3 linked regions of the Schizosaccharomyces pombe genome follow. The protein of the gene in region 2 purifies or fractionates together with the protein of the main gene of each other region. This does not show direct contact. Each region holds a gene or a part of one and is shown on either strand. Other genes may lie near its edges.

Region 1 (8,811 bases), on a different chromosome or scaffold from region 2:
AAGCCAGCTATGGATGACGAATTTGATTGGGATTCAGTAATTTGTGTTCTTGAAAGTATCTCTTCACCCATTAAGGACAATGTCTTACCTAAAAAATTCAATATCGATTTAGAGTTGACGACTTTTTGGTATGGGCGATTTTTGTTAGAAGGCATCAACAGTATAAGCTCCGATGAGTTCATTCAGTTATGGGATAATCGTCTTCCGTATCCTTGTAAAGGACTTCCTTCTTTGAATTTATTAAAGGTAGGGCATTTTAGTCAGCTAATGCTAAAACTCTTTAGGGTTATTATTTTCACGATACCCCAAATACGATTCAGTATTTATCAGGAGATCAGTTACCGAGAGAACCAAGTAGGCGGTTTCAATCTTTGTTTCAACTTAAGTCGAAATGGTTATATGAAGAACTTTGGAGTTTCGTTAAAGATCTTGCCTTGTCGAAATCAAGAGTTGAAGCTCTTATATTGAAATATGGGCGAAAACAAACCAGTAGGGACGGTGTTTACATTAATTCTAGAGGGACATGGTAAAACCTTATTTGGCCGGTACTATACAGGTTGAAAACTTGATTTTATTGTACATTATTTTCGACAGGATTATGAAATCAATTAAAATTTTAATCAAACTTAAGTTTTAAATATTAAGACTCTGGGTTTTATCAACAATTTCTGAAACAGATCTAGGAGCAACATCATAATGAAAGACAACGTCGTCTCCAGATCGCCAAATTCGAGCCTTAACAGTTGCCAATGTCATTTTGGGGGTAACGACGACATCTTTGCATCTAAATTGAAGGGATGATACATCCTTTCTTTGTTGGCTAAGCTTGCTATAGCTATAATCCATAATTTTCTGAGCACGAAGCATAGCACTAGCACTTAAACGAGTGTTTTCATTTACAATAAGCGGTAAACCACTTCCAGGAAAAGGCTGAAGAGTAAAATTAACAGTAGGGGCAGTTTTAGAAGGAAATTCGTTTAATAACAGTAATCTTCCAAGCCAAAAGGGCATAATATTTTCAAGTAAGTCAATATCGTCAGCCATGTTCTCAAGAGTAGAACGATATATGTCACGAGAATTACCGGCTTCAGGAGATTCTTCGCTGATGATAACAGTAATCTGACTCGAAAGATTTAACATGGGAAACGTATCATCGTTTGGTGGTTTCATTAAACTAAGAACGGTGTCTTTATCCTTAAAATGTACATATTGTTCATGAAGATCTTCAATCAACTCACCAGTCGTTTTCAGCTCTCGCGGGGTACCAGGTGATGATGCCTCTGAAGTTTGTTGCTTATCTTTAGCTAGTGTGTTATTTTCTGTATTTGCAGCATTATTAACAGTATTATTAGTTTTAGACAATGCTTGCGGAGAAGTTACCGAAGTCCCGGTACTGAAAACGCGGCTTGACGCAGCTCTCTCTACAGAAGCTTTCATAAAATCGGTTTGTAATGATTTGGATGACTTTGATCTTCCAAGTTTTTTAAGTCTGCCCATAAATGAACCTTCACGAGTTACTTTGGGGGGAATTATCTCTTTCGTTCTCACAACAGTAGGGGATCCAACTACCTCAGTATGTGGCTTTCTGTTACGATTTTGCCTGGCGGGGATCGAAAAGTAATCTGGCGCACCCATCATAGAATCTGTATCTGTTAAATTTGTGTAAACGGGGTTGTTTGATGGAATTTGAAGAGACGGACCAGGACTTTCGGGGGGAGGCTCGAGGGGGAATGGGGTAGCGGAATAATCTATAGTAGGAGAAAGTAAAGGTTCTGGAGGAAGAGATAAAGGTGATGGACGAGATCGAATCCTCAATGGAGACAAAGCTGATGGCATATTCACATTTCCCTTTCTTGCTTCTTCTCTCTGGGCTTCTATCTGCTTCTTAGCTTCAGACCTTACAACATCTAAATTTTGTCTAAATTTTAAATCACGATGAAGCTCGGCATCAATAAATTCACGAAATAAATTTTTTAAAATCCACACCCCTAAGTTTATTCTTTTATCAGAAGGGGAATCAACCTTCAGAAGAGGACATTCATCAGCATAAATTTCGGCATCCATGTAGTGATTTTCATCAAGAGTAACAGCAAGAATCCCCAAAAGGCAATTAACAGAAGCCCACCTAGGTATTGCTTGAACAGTATCCAAACTTTGAACAATCTTTTCAAAATCTTCTGACTTATCAAATTCCCCGGCTTGCTTACAAGCAAGTATATCCCACAAACATTTATTGCCGACAGCGTCTTCAGTTAAGACATGCCTTCGATCACCCAACATTCGATATTTTAACAAACCAATACCACCATGAATAACATAATCAGGGGTTTTGGTTAAATTGATGTTAGAATAGCTCTCAGTATGATGCAAATCATAATATATATCCTCAGCATCGTCGTGATATAATGTTGGACAGCTATGATTTCGTATGTCAGAAGAATGTCTCGAGGGACAGTCCGATGATACAGAAAGATGAGATGAGGTATGCTTAGATAATGCTGCTCCCACGTCCTGATTAAAGAGGGGCTCATCCTTCCAACGAAGAATGGAGCCATCACGACTAGTACTCCATATGAAAGATTGACGAGCAACAATGTCAGAGACAGGAGCATCCTGCTTGCATATTGCAGTACAGCTTTGGTTGTTAGGCTGGTTTCTTATATCAGTACGAGTAATCAAGCCTGAGCGATCACCAGCATAAAATACTTTTAAATCTGGGTGCTCAGAATATAATGCCCATACACTGTCTGAATGAGCTATGAAAGAGAATAAACATTTTTGCGCCCTTAGAGACCAAAGCTTTATTGTAGCGTCTGAAGAGGCTGTGAGAATTGTTCTGCCATCATCACTAATTAGAATATCTCGAACATTGTCAGTATGACCGACTAAATCTGTAATCCTTTTCTTGGAAACACAATCCCATAACTGAATGTCTTTTTGTAGTCCGCCGTTAGCAATTATGTTGTTATTCGCTGCCAGCGAGTAAACACCAGATCTTGGACCAACAACAAGAGAACAGTCAGGTAACTGTTCAAATCGCATAACTTCTTGACCTACGTTGTAGTCCCATACAATTATCCTTTTATCCAACCCACCCGAAGCGACTAACGGACTCTTGGAATATTTGGGAATGCTTACGCGCTTTACGTAGTCGGTATGCTCGCCAATTGTTGATAAACAAGAAGCATTCAAGACATGTGGCTTCCAGAGTTTCACCGTTGAATCAGAAGAACAAGATATCACTAATAAATGTTAGAACGTCAATTTCTATAAGGCTACCGCTATTCTCCAGAGATAATTAAATTTTTCAAAGGCTTACCTCCTTCGGAATCATGTGTTAAAGCTATATCATTTACCCAAGCAGAATGAGCCTGGATTTTGGCTAAGGGCTGGGAAGCTTTACCATAATCATACCCGATGTCCCAACCGAAAAGCTGTCCATCTCGGCCACCACTGTAAAGTGCTCTAGTAACTGGTGCTGACCCTTGTTCTGAAAAGTACCGACCTAGCACTAGACAATTAGCATCCAAACGGTGCCCTAGTTGATCGTTACAGGAATCAAGAACATAAGTAACCTTGTACCGTTTCCGAACACTCATGAGAACAATAAATGAATTATTAATCTCTTAAAACAATGCAATTATAAACAAAAAATCCAATTCAAACGTAAAAAATAAAAATTTATATTATATGATGTCGAATTCAATTTATTGAATGAATTCAGGTTCAAAAGTATTGCAGAAAGATAGTGTGTCCTGAGTCTAAAACGCAGCGGATAAATAAACCCTTTTACTTGGAAACAGGAAACAGTAATGGATCCAAATATTTTGGTAGCGAGTACCTATACAAATATATTATATGTTTTGACTTAGCGATGAATAGCAATTCCTCAAATAACTCAGATGTTAAAGAACGGATCCTACTGCTCATTAAAAATGGATGGAAACGATGAACTTCCAAACCATTTACCTACTAATAAGTAGTCCGATCGATATTGGCATTTGATAAAGCAATAATTAGGCGGCTGATGCTAAGAATTGTAGATAACATTATGTTTGAGCTCGACGAAAATAGAATCAAGTTAGGAGATTCGTTAAAGGATTTATCACCACGTCCTAAATGTCGTTAAATTTTGGTAGTACTCCAAGTGATATAGAAAGATGCTAACGTATGTACATTCATTTTTGTAAAAGTTATTTCTATAATGAATGATCAAAATGAGCGGCGTTTGGAAACTCTGTCTGGGCAGGTTTCTTCTTTGAAAAACGTAACCTACGATATTTATTCCCGTGCCAATGACTATACTCGAATTGATCGGGCTGTATGTAATTTAAAAAAAAAAATTTGAGTTTTTACCTAACCTGTATTATTATAGACTGAAAGCTTTTCAGGACTTTCAAATTCTGTTAAAAAATCCACCGAAAATTTCTTCCGTGTGGTTCGAAGTGCCGGACGACGAAGAATCATGACAATGGTGCTGGCAATCGTAGGGAGTATACTAATAATCTACTATGCATCCAAATGGTTTTTTTAACACGACATGAAAGCGAATGCTACATAAAGGAACGGATATAATGACATAACCTCCTGCTTCAAAATTATAAAATGTACAAGCTTTGAATTCTTATAGGCAATAAATTTATCGATGAATATTCTGAAGATAAATTTGAAAATATAAGCGCAGAATTACATGAAATATTCTTAACGAAATACTACTCCTTCCTCGAAATTTCAATAAGTCCACCATAAAAGTAAAAATAATAAAAAATTTAATTATGACTGTATATCCATATTAAGCTTGATATTCCTCACTTTTAGGAAAGAGTTTTAAGCAAAGAGACGCAGTACTAATTGAATAGAATCATGACATTGTGCCACAAACTAAGTATTCATTCACCTTCAACCGGCAAAAAAAAAAAAAAAAAGATCAAAAGGAAGGGCACAAAAATAAATAATAATAAAAATTTTAACACCTTAGCTTCACGTTCAAGCTTTGTGCATGCAGACCATGAGATGTTTGTATTGATTTAGGCTTTTTTAAGAACACAGCATTCAAATGTACGGAAGTACAGGTAATGAATACTCTTTTTCCGATGTTTGCGCAAAAATTTAAAAATAGTGCTCAAAACTTCAATTTCTTCTTGAAAATCCAGATGGAAGCATACGCGCCCGTCTTAAAGCGTCTAGTGCGTTTCGGTGACTTCCTACACGAGCTGATGTGGGCCTATGCGGGGCAGAAGACGATCCATTTGGATTGGAGGCTTGAGAAAGATGAGCTAAAGAAGCACTACTGTGAGATGGGCTTATACCCGAAGAAGAAGATGTGGAGTGTTCGAATGACCTACGACTATCCAAGGATTGTCGTGTACTTTCAGTTGGAGAAACAAAAAATGAAGGAGATGTACGTTGTGGTGGAGTAACGATACCAGGTGATGGAGGACGTGAAAGGTGCTCAATTCGTGCAACATCTTCATAACTAGGTAATGTTGATTGTAAGGGTGATTCTAATGGAACGGCTGATCTTGTTGCTTCCTTATAAGAAGGGACTCTGCTCAGATCTGCCAAACTAGTTTCTGAAGGGTTTCTAGTAATTACAGCAGAGGCAGCTCCACTGGATGGATTAGAGCCTAAACTGAAAGAAGGCGGGAAATCTTCAGGATGATTTGACGGTGAATGTTCGTTGGGGCTCCTTCCTTGCGGTTGTTGTTGTAGAGCCAACTCTGTCAAACCAGCAATGAGTTGTCGCCTATGAGCTTCATTAGAAGCATAGGTGGGCTCCATAGAATCGCGTCGCCTTGGTGTAGTTGCGCCACTAGGGAGAGGTGTATCAAGGTTGGAATAGCTCAAACCATCGTAAAGACGATCATACATGCTGTTTTGATAGCTAGGTAAAGGCTGATTAAAACTTTCAAAATTCTCGCGTAACGACTCTACTTCGGCACGATCGCCAAATAATTGAGGAGGTATCATCAAGACTACAGGTAATGCAGCTCTTAATTCTGATATATGGCCATCAGGATTTCTTAGGGAAACGGAAAACTTTAATTTGTGACGTATTTTAATTCCATCCAAATCACAATCCTGAAGACATTCCACAAGAGAACTTGGTAGTTCCAAGTTCTTTGTAAGTTCATAGTGATCGGAAAACTCCTCCAATTCTTCGGTTTGAAGAGAACGAACGGTCCTGACTTCATCTTTCGATGCCGGTAAACCGTTATATCCATGAGCGACATGCAACGTGATGTATTCTTTCAAGGTTATACTGATTTTTCCAATAGTTAGCCTCTTCAGCAACGGAACTAATACAAAATGAATGGGAATATATGACCCAATTGCATAGGCTTTTGTTGGAACGCTGATGGTATACTCAATTTTGTTTGGCCAAGTATTATCAACGCTAATGGTTTGAGTATATTCAATGGCATCCGCAGGCAATGCTCGAATAAGACGGATGTGTTTCTTTTTCACCATTTTGCTAGCTAAACCCGTTCTATCGATGCTTGCTTTAAGACGATAAACAACATAGCAACTTTGAAGACCTTCGACAGATTCAGCAATATCACCGGGAAGCATTACGTGAAACGGATACTCGTAGTTTCCAGCACGTAAAGTACGGTTGGCACCCGTATAAGGAACGAAGATCCAGTTTTTCTCGTAAACAACATATTCTTGCTTATTGTGTCTTTGGCCGCCTCTTACAGTCGGAGAAGGTTCTGACCAGGAGATGCGACATTTTCCCACTAGTTTTAGAGATATTGCTTTGACACTGATGGCTTCATTGAGACACAGAACTACAGATCCTGACAGTGGTGTCGGTTCTGCCGAGTCTGCTAGGCCTTGAATTACGATAAGATCATGCTCTGCAGCTACACGAATATCGAAGTAGGAAGCGACATTTTCTTTCCTTGAGAGAATATTCATCTCTAACACAAGGAACCAATTTTATATTTGAAAAGGGATTCAAAAGTAAGAATAATGAATTCTCTCTGAAATATTTAGTCAACAATTTTATGTAAATAACTATTACAACCCAAAAGACCCCGGCTTTGGATTATTTGAGAATGTACTACCCTGAAACAATTAGACAAAAAAACGAAAAGTACCGTGTTAAAAAATTTCCCTTAAAATTTGATTTGTGTATACAAAAATGCAAAAATACTTTTTCTTGGGGTTTATAACTTCAATAATGTAGACAAAGCGAAGGTTAAAGGACTGTTGTGTGGTGACGTTTTTATAAGCAACCTGCTGTAATATAGTATTACATACTTTCTCACATTACATAAACAAAGTTTAGCTAGTTTCGTTATACACACTATTGTGTAAATTTTAAACAATTTTAGATGTTTCACTAGTTTGTACGAAGTAAATAAAATTTTTAAAATAGTCGTGTTTTTTATATATTAAGCGGGACTGTTTTCGTATCCCTCATTCATAGCTATGCAACGAAATACCCGGGCAAGCTTGATTCAGTGGACAAGGTACGTTATTGGGTTTTACTAGAGACAGATGTGCAGAATATTGGTAAGAACCTTCTTTCCCCACTTTAAACTTTTCATTACATTTTTTCTTAAACATCACATAGTAAAAATAAGTGCTATGCGTTTGAATTTTTCAGTTTTTTGCTGTTTATTGATACCTTCAATCGACTCTCATTCACCATCGATATATAACAAACTCCTTTCTTAACTAACCCCTCTACTCTATAAACATTAGCACAACTTAATCTTCAGTTTAATTGAAATTAAGTATCCCACATTGTACAAATACAATATAGCAAATATGAGTGGCTAGAATAATACAGCATTAAAAGTTTGAGTTTTGAGTGTTAACCAAATATTTAATAAGCTTTATGATTAGTAAAGGACAGTAATCCTGAGACACGCTTAATAGTCAATAGCACCTTTTTGGTATTATTATTTGAATCTCGTGTAGTGTGACTCGCTTTCTATAGCCTCATTGAACTTTCCATCATTATAGCAAAACTTTTAATTCACAATGCATTACCGTTTTTGGAATCAATTCGCAAGACTCTGATATATATCGAGGAATGGTTTATTTTCATTTTAATTTATAAGTGTGCCTCTGAACAATTACGAATTATAGATGTGGATATCATTGACGTCTCATTGTTATTATTTTTTACATTGCTAGTGTGTTTCCTGCTTCTGTTATAAATGTTGCACAACTTGTAGAGCTATTAAAAAAAAATATTATTTTAGATGTTTCTATAATATCAAATATCGTTACGTATCCATCGAATAATTACAAGAAATTAAGACTAAACCCAGATTACAAACCTCTAATCAAATGCAACTGCTGAATCCAATCCCCCCACTTAACGTATTGCTACAATAATCTGATCCAGTGTTATGCTACAATTATACACTATCTCTGAATTAACGTAATGGAGCATTAATGATTTTTAAAAAAGGTAATACTTTCGCTAGTTTGTATAGCAAAGCAGTCAAGTCACTTCTCCACAAAGGCAGGTTAGGAGGTTACCAAATGTTTGGGTAAATAATTAGACGTATGCATGTAATAAGAAAGAAAGTTGTACTAACGTAGTTACTAGGTGTTAAATAAAGCTTTATCCTTTATTTTTTATTTTTTAATAGTACCTAAATTGTATAAGTTGGAAACCAAAAAATAATCTGTAAGTAAAGAGAAAAAATTTGTTCATAAATTCGAATAGCGACATTAAAGCAAATTTTCTTTGTATAAATTAAAATTAAAAAAAATTTTAATCTTAAATGTTTACATCGCGAACAGTAATGTAAAAAGTTGCACAATTGGCAAAATCAAATTTAGGAA
Region 2 (7,716 bases):
GTCACTAATGAAGGTTTCGGTACTTTATACCGTGGTCTGGCTCCTTTGTGGTTCCGCCAAATCCCTTACACCATGATGAAATTTGCTTCTTTTGAGCGCATTGTCGAAGCTTTGTACACCTACATTGGCAAGCCCAAGAACATGTATTCAAAGGCCGAAAAGATTGGTATTTCTTTTGCTGGTGGTTACATGGCCGGTGTTCTTTGCGCCATTATCAGTCATCCTGCTGATGTTATGGTTTCCAAGTTGAATTCCAACAAAAAGGCTGGTGAGGGCGCTGGCGCTGCTGCTGCTCGTATCTACAAGGAGATTGGATTTTCTGGTCTTTGGAATGGTCTTGGTGTTCGTATAGTCATGATTGGTACTTTGACTGGTGCTCAATGGCTCATCTACGATTCATTCAAGATTATGTGTGGTTTCCCTGCCACTGGTGCTTAAATGCACTATCGTATAGTAAACCTTTCATTTTATGGAACGTCGCTTTTTAAATTTCCCCCCACTTTCTCTTATAGGCTCTTAACAAGTTTTACTGTTTTATCAGTGTTTAAATTTATATGTAAATTTTGAACGTGTAGTTCCTTTTTCTGTAACTCTTAAGTGTTTTCAGGAGTATATATCAGCTTATGGAAGATGTGATTAGTATTTTAGCGTTTTCAACTAATGAAGTGAGTCATAAAAATTTGGGCTGTTGTGGGAATCGAACCCACGACCACCATCACCCTAAGATGGTATCATACCACTAGACCAAACGGCCAATTTGCATGTAAAGAGTAAGAGGAAATTATATTACAGATGATTTAGCAAGAAGTGTTTACAATATTAGATATGCAATAAGAGATTCAATTCATACAAATATTAATTGACTTCTTAATCCTGGTTCCATTAACTATTTAAATCGCAATTGACTAAATTGCGATTATACAGTTGACATAATATAATTTGTTCGACAACTCATGTGTAGTACTGTGTTAACTATTCGATGTTAAACCTTCATTGGCTTCTGTAGTGTTTTGTTTTTATCAATATTCCTCGCATTAATCGCTTTGATGTTAAATTTATTAACCTTGAATAAATACTACATTAACAAAATTTCGTATATAGCTTACAAAAAGAATAATGCATTTCGATTACCAAAACGTAAATCAGGTCTGATTGTTATATTAAATTTGGATTGTCATTGTACATTGATACTTTTCATTGTTAAAAAATTAATTCTATTATAACTTGTTATTTCAATTAGAAGAAGGGTCGATCAACTATTATTAATTATTGTTAAATCCTAAGTTCCCTAGTTTTTTAGCAAATAAACATGTAGAATTTAGGTTAAAAAAATTTTTCTCATTTTCAATTAAAAAATCTAATTTATATAAAGCTTTAAAATTGAAAATAAACACATATCCTGTTTTATCCGGAAAAGTTTACAAGATAGACTTAAATAATTATTAGATCGGAACCTCTTCATTGCTTAAGCATATAATTTAAACAATACTACAACCCTTAAAAAAAAAAAAAGTTGCCTTAAAACAATGGTTTCTATAAGGAACCAAATACTGTAACAACTTCAAGACCATTTTCAGAAAATACACTTAGCATCCAATTGTCCTGAAAATTGAACAAACTAAATTTTTTAAATTATAAAGCTGCTTTACATTAAGTCGATATGAATAAAAATAAAATGAAATAATGTATAATGAAATAAATAAAAATCTGTTAAAGAAAAGCTCTATATTGAAATATGCTATTCAAAGTATACTTAAGAAAATTGATAATATATGCATGGTAAATAGTATCTTTAAGAAAACAACAAGTAAATTTTGCAGTATCATGATTAATAATATTAACAATTCTAAGCACACTAATTACCTTAAATTCATGCTAAGACAAGGAGTAAGATAATCTTAATCGATTAATTTGTCACAACCAAAAAATTTCGAATTCGATGTATGAAGGTTGCCGTTCAAATTGGGAACAACGAGAAGAAATAGCAGATAAGCTACTTTTAGGAGTTTAAAGTCATAAATTTTCAATTATAAAAAGACATAATAGCAAAAATTGAATACCGCAACAGATAATTACGAAGACCAATCACTGTAGTACGCGTGTGTTAAAAATGAAACCTCGAGCGGTAAACAATATTATAAAAACCAGAAAAAGGCCAAAAGGTATAAACACAGAGAAATAACTGAATTCAAAGAATTAAAAAAGTGACATATGGATAAATAGAGCGCATGACTTTCAAAGTTGGCCAAAATTTCCAAATAAAGTCAAAAATATAAAGTAAAACGATGAGAGATGAAAACATTAAAAGAATTTCTCGAAAAGTGTAATAAAAAACACAAATAAGAATTCTTTACCTTTTGGAACGGCTTCTAGAGAATTGCCAAGGAAGCGTATGTGAGTGCTTCGACTCTGAATGTTCATCACTAGACTTGTGAGTATCCCTTAATGGTGAATCTTTAGGGGAGTTGCTTTGGGATGATCCAAAAAATTTACTTCTTTTTCGTGTAAGGGAAGGGAAAAACGAACGACTTTCGCGACGTACGGCTTTTGGAGAAGCATCAACAGATCTTGAATGAAATCTTTCTGCATCCAGTGATGGTTCACGATCAAAATAAGAACGGCTATTGATGTCTCTATCTAAAGTTTTATGAGAATACTGCGAAGAAAATGAAGCAACCATCGGATCCATATCAGGATATGTTATTGTCGAGTTTGATCTAGGGGTACTTGATAGATTCGAAACTTCCACGCTTTCTTGTTTAAGTTGACTTGGAATAGACATCGGCTTAATTGATTCCTTGGTGTCTACTTCACTAACATCATCATCTTCTTCATCAGCAGCAGTATAAAATAGAACATAGGCAGTAGCCTGACCAGGTTGATCACCAAAAAATCGTTGTAGGTAATTCTCGTTGACAGGAGTTACGTTCTCGTCATCAAAAAGGACCCAGCCATAAGTTTTAGTGCGAACGATAGACACATAATGACCACGATGTGGACCGCCTCCTACGTGAACAATAACAGAGGAAAGATAATACATTCTTTCAGCATTCTCTGCATCTTCGGTGGTAGTAAATAATCTCATTTCGTTGGTAAAAACAATAGTATAGAAGAGTTTATCATGGCCCTCCTGGGTTTCGTTATATTTAAAACGTTTCAAATGTAATGAGAGGATTTTCGGTAATTTTTTTATCTTCATTCTTTTTTCTGCTTCCTGCAAACTTTTGCAAACATCACAATGAAACTTATTTTTGGAGGACAACATCTCTGAAGCAGAAAAAGACCTTAAACAGGAAGTTACAGAAGTGTGATTTTCTATATCTATGCTAAGGTCTAAAAAGCTTTCATCCCTTGACGTTATGTTTTCACAAGTTAAACATTTCGTCTCGCTGGTAAGCGTTCCTTCAAACAAAGAATGAACCCATTTTGGATGCATCACGTCGGAATGATTACCGTAGTATTCATCAAGAGTTTCTGTAACAGAATTAAGAAGAAAATTAAAAAACTCGTGAGCATCTTGCTGCTGAGTACTGCGAAAAGCTTCATTGTCTCTACGTAGAACTTGGATAAAACGCTCGGGAGAACAAATACCATAACGACAATCACAGCAACTTACGGAGCAATAAAGATCCTTTAAACAAGTATATATGTTTTCTTTCATTCCATAAGCAGAACAATTGCTTTCGCCTACAACGATTTGATGCTTCGTCCCGGATTCAGAGCCGACGTTACTAATATCGACACAGCCGCAAGAATTTATACCATTGGACCCGTATAAAGAGGACTTCCTATTCTCCATGCTCTTTTTCTTACTGTGTCGTGAGGAAGATGATTCAGGATGGTTGGTTTTTGTACAAACGCTTTTAAAATTTGGAGGAGCACTCGGAAGAGGATACGAATTTAAAGAATCACGAAAGGGCTTTAAATGGTATAAAGATACTAAGACAGAACTCACGTAACTATTTCGTTAGAAATTTACAATCATAAAAGCAACGCTACAAGTATGATCGCCATACCATGTATTTCCATACTAAAAATATGTTAGAGCAGAAGAAATTATAACTAATAAAAATGCTTACATTTGTTAAACCATAGAATCGATCTGTTAGGGTTTCAGGGCGAATTGATGGCTTCGGCAACTCTGCTTCCCAAGTGCTTTTACGCCGGTCAGTGGAGCCTGGGGAATTCTATAGTTTGTCAGTCTTCAATTCATAACTAACAATTGAATTACCATTCCCATCCAACGAAGCAGCGACATGCTGAGTTGAACTAAAGGATGCTAAGTTTACAAACCAAGCACAGCGGGGAAGTGAACGCAAAGGGAAGCTTTCACGCGCTCAGAAAGGGGCGTACGTTGGTGATCATAATCTTAGGCTATTATTATATTAACAGCCAACTATCTAAAATAACGAAGTGCAATGTATTGTAAAATGAGCGATAAAACTCAGTAGATATTAAGTCAAAAAAGCTATAAATAAACCGTAACTAATTTTGGAAATGTGATCTGGTTAAACGAAGTATCAAATGTACAATAAATTAAAAGAAAGTAAACATCAGTTTGGTGAAATGGGAACAGATGAATTTCTGCAATGTATCAAAATTTACTCATTAATGCAAGTTATGTGTAATCGTAGTATTCACCATCCACTAACCTGTAGAAACCGATTTGGTGTTAGAAGATGGAGGATGATCTGCCTTTTCTGAGACTGTTTCACGTGGGATTTCCTTTGAAGGAGTGGCTTCTGCTTGCTCGTTCTGACTTGGCGTGTTTTGACGAAGAGTATGGAGCTCACGTTCAACTTTAAGAATGACTTTGTGGAGTTCGTCAAAATCCTTTTCGGTACTATCAATTTCCTCAGTCGAAGATTGGAGTTCATTCTTTTTCTTCTGTAAAACAAACTGCTTTTCCATGATTTCGTTAATACGAACGATTTCATGTTGTAAACCAAGAATCGCTTCAGCAACTTCATCTCGTCTATTCTTTTCCTTTCTACGAGCCCTCCATGTTTCAAATAAAATGGCTCCTCCAGCAACAGTACTGTAAATTGTTAGCAAGAGAAGAACATTGTGACAAGTTGGATTTCGTAGCTCCTTCACAATGTGCCGTATTAAGCATTGTGGAGAGGAAGTACGTCAAATCGTATTAATTTTCATACAATATAAAAGTTTCTGATAAAAATGTTGCACCAGCATCGACTGCTTTGGCATCGTTTAAAGGTCGTAATCGTACATTAGCTCCTCCACTTTTAGCTCTGTTAATTCCTGTTATTCTAAATTCCGCGCGATGCATCCATTGAGCAAATTCAATACATGCCTATATAGAAATTTCGTTAGTAATGCTATAAGATTCTCTTTATCATCTATTTTACTGATTTATACCTTTCGGAAAGCCTTGTGCTCTTTAGCTTGGGCTTTGATTGTATTGGCAATCGGTTTGGATAATGTTCTTACTAACAAGCTTCCGATTTTTAAGGCTAGAGAAGACATTGGATTGTAGAGAAATGTTAATGGATACCAGAACTTCAAAAATATTCGAGGGGGAATAAACCCGCAAAGGATTTCAAATTACCGACTAAAAGTACTACCACCTCAATTAAATAGAGGTATAAAAGAAAGAAATCTCCGATAAAATTAGAATGCAGATATAAGCGTGTAACAATAGCTAGGATATTTATGCAAGGTCGAAGATATACTCTTCCGTTAATCAATAGCAATATTTAAAACCGCAACACCAAGTGCGTGCTTTATTTTTTTAATCTATTAATTAGAAAAGTTATTGGAAGAGGAAAGTAAATTTGATGTTGCTGAACTTGATATGCATATTCTGTCGGTTTCTCTGATTGGTTTACTAATCCTTCTTACACCGATCCCTGTGTGTGCTTAATATTTTGCTTGTATTAGAAACTTTAGTGTCGCAGTTATCAATACTTGTCCTTAGTAGTACAGTTGTATTTTCATTTCTTAATGTAACGTACATACCATTCAACCTTTGACTTACTATTATATATTTGATTTTTAGTTAATGACTTTTGTTAGCGAACCGTATGTTATGCAAATAGTTCCAAGCAACTATAGTTTTAGGGAATACTGTAAAGTGCTAGTTAATGAGCAATACGCGTATTATACAACGTTTACAACAGTTTATCATATCACGCTACAAAATAAAGTACATAAGACTAGCAGTTTTCTACATAGCTTTGCTTAAGATTTTAAACTACCGTTGATAAAAGGGAAACGTAGCATGCATCCAAACCTACAAATAACTTTCTATAAGTATCGTAAAAACTCAGAAAGTAGATACCTAATATTAGCAGTTCACCGTCAGCGAATGAAACTCACAAAAGGAATGACAGCGAAGTACGTAAAACGTATGTATATAAAAATATATTAAAAGCGCATTCAGAGGTATAACCAACAAACATGTAGTTTAGCAGCAGTTGCTGGAACTTTGGGAAACGTTAGTGCCCTGACCAACCTTGACACTAGATTTGGCATTGGAAGAGGCAAATGTATTATTTCCCATACGTTCCTTAATTTGACGGGACATAGTTAAGAAAGCTTGCTCAACATTTGTAGAATCTTTAGCAGACGTTTCGAGGAAAGGAATATTCAAACTGTCAGCAAACTCCTTAGCAACAGAATATTCAACAACCTTCTTATCAACCATATCTGACTTGTTTCCTACAAGAAGACGATTGACTCCTTCAACGGCATATCTATCTATTTCCTGAAGCCATTGCTTAACATTGTTGAAAGAATCTAAGAAGCAAGCATTAGCCTCGGAACCGCGTCGGAAACAATGTGAAGACTAGAAAACGCCATAAAAATATCCCCCAAACGCCTTATAACGCATATACGCGCATATACAGAAAACGGAAGACAATCAAATTGGTTTTCCATACTTCACACATTACATACCTTGATCGGTAACATCGTATACGATGATAATTCCATGAGCTCCACGATAGTATGAGCTAGTAATTGTACGGAAACGTTCTTGACCAGCGGTATCCCACTATGATAAATCGTTAATAAAAAAATATCCCGGAACGCCAACGAGAAGTAAACTATCACTTACGATTTGAAGTTTAACAGTCTTTCCCTCTAATTCAAAAGTTCTGATTTTCTAAAAAAAGTTAGCAATAAATATGGTTAAGCTGCTTGAAAACGGACGTACAAAATCAACTCCGATAGTAGAGATATAGGATTCAGTATAAGTGTCATCGGCAAAACGTAGAAGAAGGCAACTCTTACCGACACCAGAGTCGCCAATAAGTAAAAGCTTAAAGAGATAGTCGTATCTATTAATATTAGCATTCATCTTCTTACGGTAAAAAAACTCATTACCTATTGATTAGCAATTATATCGCCCAATTTACAAGAATTCTTTAATTTTGGAAAGAAAATACTCTATAAATTGTTAATTTCTAGCTCCTGATGTATTGAATAGTATGCTAAATCCTTACTACTCTGGATTCATCGTATATGCACAGTAATGGCGGACGTTCTGTTGCTCGCTTCAGTCTACGCATATACCAACGCAGCGGAGTGGGGGACCCTACAGCCCAAAGAATGCTCACGGGCAAATCTTTTACTATCATGCTGCTAATTATATTAAGTATCGTTATTTCGTTTAGCGTATCTTAACTTTCCGTAGTATTTCATATGTTTTCAAAACAAATATATTATATGTGCAGACAAAGGCTTCACTCAAGT
Region 3 (7,534 bases), on a different chromosome or scaffold from region 2:
ATTTTCCTCCAGTTCTTGACGAAGTTCATAAGCTTCCATTAATGAATCATCAAGGAATTCTGCATAGTCTAATTCCAAAGAATAGGCTTCAGGCACCGATTTAGACAATATTGAATCCGGATGTTTTGCCAGGTACGTTATGACAGTACGCCAGAGGTATTCTTTCCTGATTAAAGCCTTGCGAATCACATAAGAGCAGCAAAGTTTTGTTTTTGGGTTCTTGTAAACTTCGTCAAAGTCGATATCTTCGTACTGTGCCCATTGAAAATTTGCTTCCTTCGCTGAATTTGTAAAAGTTAACTCTTTTCCACTATTCTTCAACGCAGATATGATTTTTGGCTCTGCATACTCGTCACGATAGTTGACATAAACTTTTATGTCTTTCTTAGTAGAAGACATGTACGAAACTACCTTCTTTGGACTTTCTAGAGTTGGGGTAGGAGGATACAACGAATATTAAAAAATATAAAAGCGCAATTCTTTAGTAGGGTGAAAGAAAAAATAGATCATAAATACATACTATACTAAAAATTACAAATAACATTAAAATTGGATAGCTTCATTAAGATTTGTCATATTGGGAATAAGAAGGGCTTTAACGATAACATCTATTGACAATATAACTAATACTTTATAGTTTGGGCTCTGAAATGAATAACTCTTCTCTTACAGTCTGTTAATGAACTTTGCATATCTTTAATAATTGTTTTTGCAAAACAAAGAGAAGACTTGAATATGTAAGGGAAAAAGCATGAGCTAGCACACCAACTGAAAAATTGAAAAGTGTTACTCAAAACACAAATTAAAATTTAAATATACAGATTTAAGATTAGTAGCAAAAGAGCTATAATCACTGTTAACCAAACGTCAGTATTTGAAAAAAGAAAAAAAAACATAGTTATACAGTAAGTACTATAATATTGAGAAAACAATGAACCAAAAACTTAAGGCATCTAATGTGTGTTTATGGACGTTGCCATGTTCGAATTCTTCCGTTTGTAGCACATGTTATCATACAGTCAGGATCAAAGAAGACGGAACTGAGAGGACTATCATCGACATCGTAAATGGTAATAGGTGATATAACAGGTATTAAAGAACGAGATAATGTAGGATGGATAGTAATATCGCCGTTCACATAATTTGAATTGTCAATTTCTGATCCCATTGTTAAATCACCGACATCATCAAAATCACTTATAGCTGGTTTAGAATTATTAGAATGATGATTCACATAATAAACTGCAGACTTGGGTCTATGAATAGCGCTCACACTGAAATCCCAGAGTAGTAGTTTTCTGTCGAGTCCTACACTAGCTATTCTATAATTATCATCATCACATCTCCAAGCATCAAATATCACATCGGTGACCCAAGATTTATGGCCTTGACAGCGAGCTACTAACTTTCGTAAAGGAAAGGAGTATATTGAAACCAGATCATCTTTACCTCCTATAGCGATAAATTTACCATCTGGAGACCAGGTGACACAGGTTAACCCAGCAAAGTAACTATGAAAAACATCAAGGACGTGTTCCTTCACAAAATCAAAAAGCTTCAATGTTCCTCTCTCAGAGACGAGTGCCAGGTATTGATAATCGGGACTGAAACAAAAGCCGTTAATCGGTGATTTTGAAAATGCATAGCAAGCAACCGGATTGAGTTTACGGTCATCTCGGTGATTAATACTTATGAGAATATTAAAGGTTCCTGGAGAACTAAGATATAAAGATTTTAGGTTTTTTTCCGGTACCACAATATGGAGTGGTTGCTCGTGACGATATTTGTCATAAAGCACAAGCCAACCATTGCGAAAAGATACCAAAAATTGAGAATCTTTGCCAGCAACCCACTTTATAGCGGTAACAGAGGAGCTATTCAGCTGTCCATTTTTGTTAAAGCGTAAATACTTGAAATTAATAGGATCATACCAAAGTACGTCGCCTGTATCAAACCCAATTATTACGTCCAAGCCCTTGGGACTTTTAGTAAAGGAATTTATATCATGGCAAACAGGTGATGCCCTTGGAAATTCCATTTTGAGTAAGGCAGAATGGGAATTAGCAGCACTCACATCAAGCCAATAAAACGATTTTTCGTGATTAGCAAACACAAAGGTTTTACCATGAATAGAAGGCTGAAAAGAACGTACTATGTTGTCATGAAATGTAAGGGAGGAGATAAAGGATTTAGCATTGATTAAAGGAGCACCAGCACGAGAGGCCGGTCTGTGAAGCTTCAAATAAGGAGTGTTAGAGGAAGAAAAGTTGTGGGACTTTCGTTTACTATTGCGATAATTTTCAAGAATTGAGGGGACATCTCTATTCTCTTCAACATGATGAACGCCATGAATTTTCTTAAGTTCTTCAATATATTCTCGTGGATAGGGGTAATCCCAACGGGAGAATTGAGCAATATTTATCCGCATAAAGAACAGACGTTTTACAGGCGTGTTTGGATCTAAAGGTGAACCGGTAATTTGAGGAGTAGAACGTGATGAACTGCCTAATTGAAATTCATCCTTCAAAACATATTCTCCCTCGCGAGCAGTTAAAAACAGAACCGGACGGGCAATTCCAGAAGACATCGTTTGCATAATATAGTTAGGTAAAGGATAAGAAGTGAAAGTTCTGCTGAAACAATCCAAATGGTAACGACCTCAAGTACTGAGAAGTTTCTATTCAATGAAGTCGTAAAAGACAATTAAGAAATGTATTTAAATTAGTGAATCTAGTAAGAAGAGCGATTTTTAAGCTACTGCTTTCTCTTTTATTAATCAATGAGAATTAAAATAGGAGTATACGAAATCGCATTCGAACAAATTAATTTATAATTAAAACTTATGCAGAAGACTGAATTTCCTGCAAAATCGTAAAATGTTCTTAACCGACTAGCTCGACCGTACAGTTTGTTGAAATCTTCTAAAGGAGTAGCGTGTCACTTATAATATGAAAGCGACATAAATAACGCTAATTAAAGAACAAACCCAATTTACGTTAATAAAAGGGTATGTGTTTCATTTTAACATTTATTGAAGCTGCTTGAGGTAAATATTTCAATACACTATTCTTTGCAATATTTGGATCAATCACATTTTTTAAAACTCATTAAATAGTTCAAATAAAGAACTCTTTAAACTTGCGTTAAAATATAGCAGATACATACTGCATTGCTTTGAAACAAAACTTTATTAGCACTTTGCACGATTATATTGTATCCCGTTAACCATCACTATATACTACGTGTCAGGAATTATTTACGTTTCTGTCCCCTTGGGTACTCTTCATTGCTTTTTTATATTCAAAAGCTATTTAAGAATAAGGATAATGCAATGGAACTTCTTTCTTTAGTATAGTTTTTAAGTTATTCGTAAAGTGTAATACTATTTAGTATCTATAATTCTTAATATAACCAAATCATTGGCAAATTAACTGTGTAAAATAATTTTGATCACTCAAAAAACTTATCGTTGTGTTATAGCTTTATAATGTTATGAGCTAGTTAGTAAGGCCCTATTATACAAGAATTTCGAAAACGGTGAAATTTGCAATATTTGTAACTTGCAAGAAGTGAAAATTCAGCATTTATACGTTTTGTGAGTGTAGTATATTTTCACTCTTGGTCAAAATAGGCACGCTGAAAGTAGTGTAATCTATGAAGCTTTAATTTATATAGTGAAAAATACTGTAAATGGATTTCCTATCCTTGGTTTTCGGATTCATGTAAAGTTTGTTATGCAATCTAATCGATGCATTATTACCTTCCCTATTTCTCTACTCAATTGCCATTTTTTTTAAATGTATATTCTGTTCCTATGTATACATTATACTCTTTTTATCCTAGGAATTATTTAAAGATTTAATATTCAAGCCTAAAAAAATTGTAGAAACTAATTATTTAGTAACTGAAGATATAGCTTATAAATCCAATTGTTATTTCAGCTAGAAATGTTACTTCGATCGTCACAATATTCTTTTCTATTCCTAAAAACATTTTAAAAGCTAGTTGACCCTAAATGTGATTTATCAATAGAATCAATAATCTCAATCATTTAATAAGAGGGTAGATTTGATCAAATTCTAGTTGTATGAAATTACAATTCGCAAAAATTGACTGAAACAACCAAGGGTTGGGTAAATCTATGGTGGTATAATGGCTTCATTCTTACCTACTCCACTTACGAACCTCCATCTTCTTAAATTTCACAGTAGAAGGTAATTGTAAAAGAAATATTGTGACAATAAATTTTAAAAAGATTAGCAAAAAAGAATATTTAATTACATAAAAATGTCGAATGTGCAACGTAAAAGAATTGATATTCGTCGTCCCACCCTTGCGGAGCTGTCGAGTATTCGATCGATTGCCATGAATGCGTTGAACGGTCAATCGAGAAATCTCTCTCAAAAAATCTTTTGGCACCCGTTGTATCTTGCGGTTTTTGGTTTGGTGTTTATGGGGATATATCGCTTAACAAACATGGTAGAAGGAAATACAAAATTACGAACTTTTGTTTTATTAATATTGGTTAGCGCTGTCTTTTTGACGTTGATTGAATTTCCCTGTAGAAATGTGTATGCAAAGATTAGCACTGAAGACAATCAACCTGACGGCTGCTTGGCTGAAGAGAATCTTAAACATTTTTATATGGCCCGCATTGACAAAGAACGAGTTATTGGTATTATAGGTATCTTGCCTGCAAATGCTCCTGGTGCATACCAAAACACACCAACTATTGTCCACTGGACTGTCATTCCTAAATTTTATCAGTATGCGTTTGATCTCCTAGATTCAGCACTTCGTGAGGCGAAGGAGATGGGTGCTGACGTGGTCTCAGCACGAGTTTATTCAACCGACCCAATGTTGAAGGCTTTTGAAAGAAAAGACTTTACTCCTGTAGTTGATGAAGCTTTCGATTATCTATCGTTTTTCGGATTGCGCCGTTTAGTGCTTCAAAAGAATTTGAGCGAACAACCTGGTTTTGAAAATAGAAGATAGATTATTTAACTTTCCGCAAATATTACCCTTTCGTGCATGTAATTGCGCAGCTACAACTTGTTTTTCGCTGTATGTTCATATTTTAAATCTTTTTGTTTTGTGTTTATTTTTTTCGTGAAATAGTTACGAAAGAATTTCACGACGTTCAAGTAAATTTCTACCTAGGGCAAAAACTAGACCCACCGTGTTGTTGAATAATTGTTAAAAGTTTTAGAAACTATTTCATTACGTCCGCTCCATGTTCAAGAGTTCGTACCCGCTAGACTGTACAAAACAATTTGAATGTAAACTTAATATTATATAACTGATGTATGTTAGTGAATACTAAGTGAGCATCTCATTTCACTATCGTCAATTATGCTTGTAAAAACACAATCGATCGACTACAAAAGTACGTTTAACGAGTGTGAATCAAAGCTGAATCAATAAATAAAATACAGCATCTTGCAAATAAAAAACAAATTTAAAAATATTTAATGACAGTAAAAGACAGAAAAAAACAATAGTACTTAGAGTAATAACGTATTACTATAACACATACTACGGCAACATAATGGTGCGCCCTTGTTGTCGACGCTTTTGCCATCTCCCTATGTCAACAGCACATTCCGCCTTAAACAAGAGATCATAGAAGGATCAAATTAAAACTGGGATTTTGTCTCCTTGGTTCAGAAATTACTTGATTGTTTTGTTGGATTGTAATTAACAATCACTCCAATCGCTCGCCGAAAGGCTTCCAAATTTTGTTTATTAAATTAGCCTTTCTGAGCGACATTTTGTTATTTCATGTCTGTTCAAGCGTATACGAATACTCCGAATTTACCGAATTTAATACATAGTGAATCTATAACCAACTCACCTGTGTTTATACCAAACCTACGAAGTAAGTCCGACAACAAACATAGATTAAACACTTCTGAAGAATTGCCATTTACAAAGAAACGCAGAGCAACTAAACATTTTTTAAAAATGGAGGTATCTGCCAAAATTTCTGAACCACCTTCTAGTAAAAGTGTGGAATTTGGAAGGCATTTAAATATGCGGCATGATTTTTCCGAATTGCTTGAACAACCACTTACAACGAGCAAAACTAGGGTCTTTAAATCCTTTAATGAAAAGCTCAAAGGTAAACCCCAGTTAGTGAAATCCGATAAAGGTGTGTTGCCTCTTAATAAGCAATCGGATATACTGAATTCTTATGAACGCGTTTTAAGCAATGCTTCGGTTGATTCTGCATTAGACAAAAAGGCGGAAGTTGATATCATTCCATTTGATAAATCAGTTATGGAACCAAAGAACATAACTTTTAATGACAAAAGTGGCTTAACCAAGTTTGGGAATTCAAACTCTTATGAAACTACGTATTCTGACTCCAGCAACTATCATACTTCTACTGATTCGTCCCAATATAATGACCAAGATGACCACGTCTATGATGATACTAATGATGGAACTGATGATGATATAAATAATAACGAGTACAAAGACGATGAATCCAGTAGTGGCAGTGAAAGTTATGAAAGAGATGAAGATGTTGATGAAGAGGAGGAAGAAGACGATGATGAAAACAATGATGAGGGAGACGATGAAGATGAAAATGAAAATGACGAGTTAAGAAGCGAAAACGGTTCACCTAATCCTTCAGCCGCTGTTATTAATGAACAAGAAAACATGAACATGAGTGGAATCGAAGAATACGATGAAACTAACTTGTTAAATGAACTGGGAAGAATCAGAAGAGGTAATCAGTTTCAAAGTTTAGCGTCTTCTATACTTTCTTCCGGTAATTTGGAGAACTCTGATGACGAAGATGTTTCTTTAGGTCCACAGACATACCGTTTCAATAGTTCCTTTCATCCTTTTCGTTCTGCATTTTCTGCTCCAGGTGTTCAATTTGGACGCTTGTTAGAAGGAATAAAGGATTTTAGTGATCCTACTGTTCAAATGCTTTCTCTTCAAGAACTTTCCGAAGCGTTTGCTATGAGTACTGAAGATATGCTTGTTGGATTGTTTTCAACCGATTCATACATTGCGGCTTTTTCCGAAATCTTATCTGGGCGAAATTATGATTTCGGAGAAGTCTCTATTCAACTTATGCTATCCTGTACTACCTGTGTATCTAATATGATGGAAGCTTTGCCTTTATGTATGGCTAAAATAGCATATAGTCCTATTGTTCGCATTCTGTGTGAAAGAATGTTTGATATGCAATACATTGATATTGCTGAACAAGCTTTAGGAGTTTTAGAACGGCTTTCTAAAGATTTTGGTATTTGTATTTTGGAACACAGAGGAATGTTAGCTGCTCTCCAATACTTTGATTTTTTTTATACTACAGTTCAACGGACAGCTATTTCTCTGGCTGCTAATTGCTGTAAGTTTTTGGATGAATCCAATGCTTCCGCAGCAGAAGAAATTATTCCATTGCTTTCTAATATTCTACAATCTTCTGATACCATAGTCGTTAGTAAGGCATATTCTTGCCTGGAGACAATTATTGAATCTTTGAAAACTTCACCAAACATAATTGAAACGATAA

The links.
Region 1: the proteins of ubp9 (region 2) and bun107 purify together in Schizosaccharomyces pombe (affinity purification with western blotting; one study listed by BioGRID). This does not show direct contact.
Region 3: the proteins of ubp9 (region 2) and bun62 purify together in Schizosaccharomyces pombe (affinity purification with western blotting; one study listed by BioGRID). This does not show direct contact.

Annotation. Positions count from the first base shown.
Region 1 is NC_003424.3:410,194-419,004, reverse strand, and holds bun107 (WD repeat-containing protein), read right to left. Parts: upstream 4,015-8,811; 5' UTR 3,600-4,014; coding exon 3,320-3,599; intron 3,243-3,319; coding exon 634-3,242; 3' UTR 531-633; downstream 1-530. Other genes in the region: Ctf18 RFC-like complex subunit Dcc1, read left to right, coding at 1-246, 285-530; SNARE protein Sft1, read left to right, coding at 4,205-4,321, 4,376-4,534; rod1 (arrestin/PY protein 1), read right to left, coding at 5,131-6,921. UniProt on the Schizosaccharomyces pombe protein: Required for the ubp9 recruitment to septa and cell tips but also for its enzymatic activity at these specific locations.
Region 2 is NC_003423.3:2,932,753-2,940,468, reverse strand, and holds ubp9 (ubiquitin hydrolase Ubp9), read right to left. Parts: upstream 4,318-7,716; 5' UTR 4,259-4,317; coding exon 4,232-4,258; intron 4,188-4,231; coding exon 4,080-4,187; intron 4,031-4,079; coding exon 4,017-4,030; intron 3,989-4,016; exon of another isoform or gene 3,960-3,988; coding exon 2,351-3,959; 3' UTR 1,707-2,350; downstream 1-1,706. Other genes in the region: SPOM_SPBC1703.13C (inorganic phosphate transporter), read left to right, coding at 1-438; mitochondrial outer membrane lipid metabolism regulator Opa3, read right to left, coding at 4,648-5,038, 5,157-5,314, 5,380-5,487; GTPase Ypt1, read right to left, coding at 6,428-6,759, 6,919-7,015, 7,079-7,126, 7,178-7,301, 7,470-7,480. UniProt on the Schizosaccharomyces pombe protein: Ubiquitin C-terminal hydrolase involved in regulating actin dynamics and/or endocytosis at cell tips and septa.
Region 3 is NC_003424.3:4,573,689-4,581,222, reverse strand, and holds bun62 (WD repeat-containing protein), read right to left. Parts: upstream 2,914-7,534; 5' UTR 2,597-2,913; coding exon 965-2,596; 3' UTR 501-964; downstream 1-500. Other genes in the region: pby1 (tubulin-tyrosine ligase), read right to left, coding at 1-399; acetylase Sdg1, read left to right, coding at 4,288-4,995; SPOM_SPAC12B10.01C (ubiquitin-protein ligase E3), read left to right, coding at 5,782-7,534. UniProt on the Schizosaccharomyces pombe protein: Required for the ubp9 recruitment to septa and cell tips but also for its enzymatic activity at these specific locations.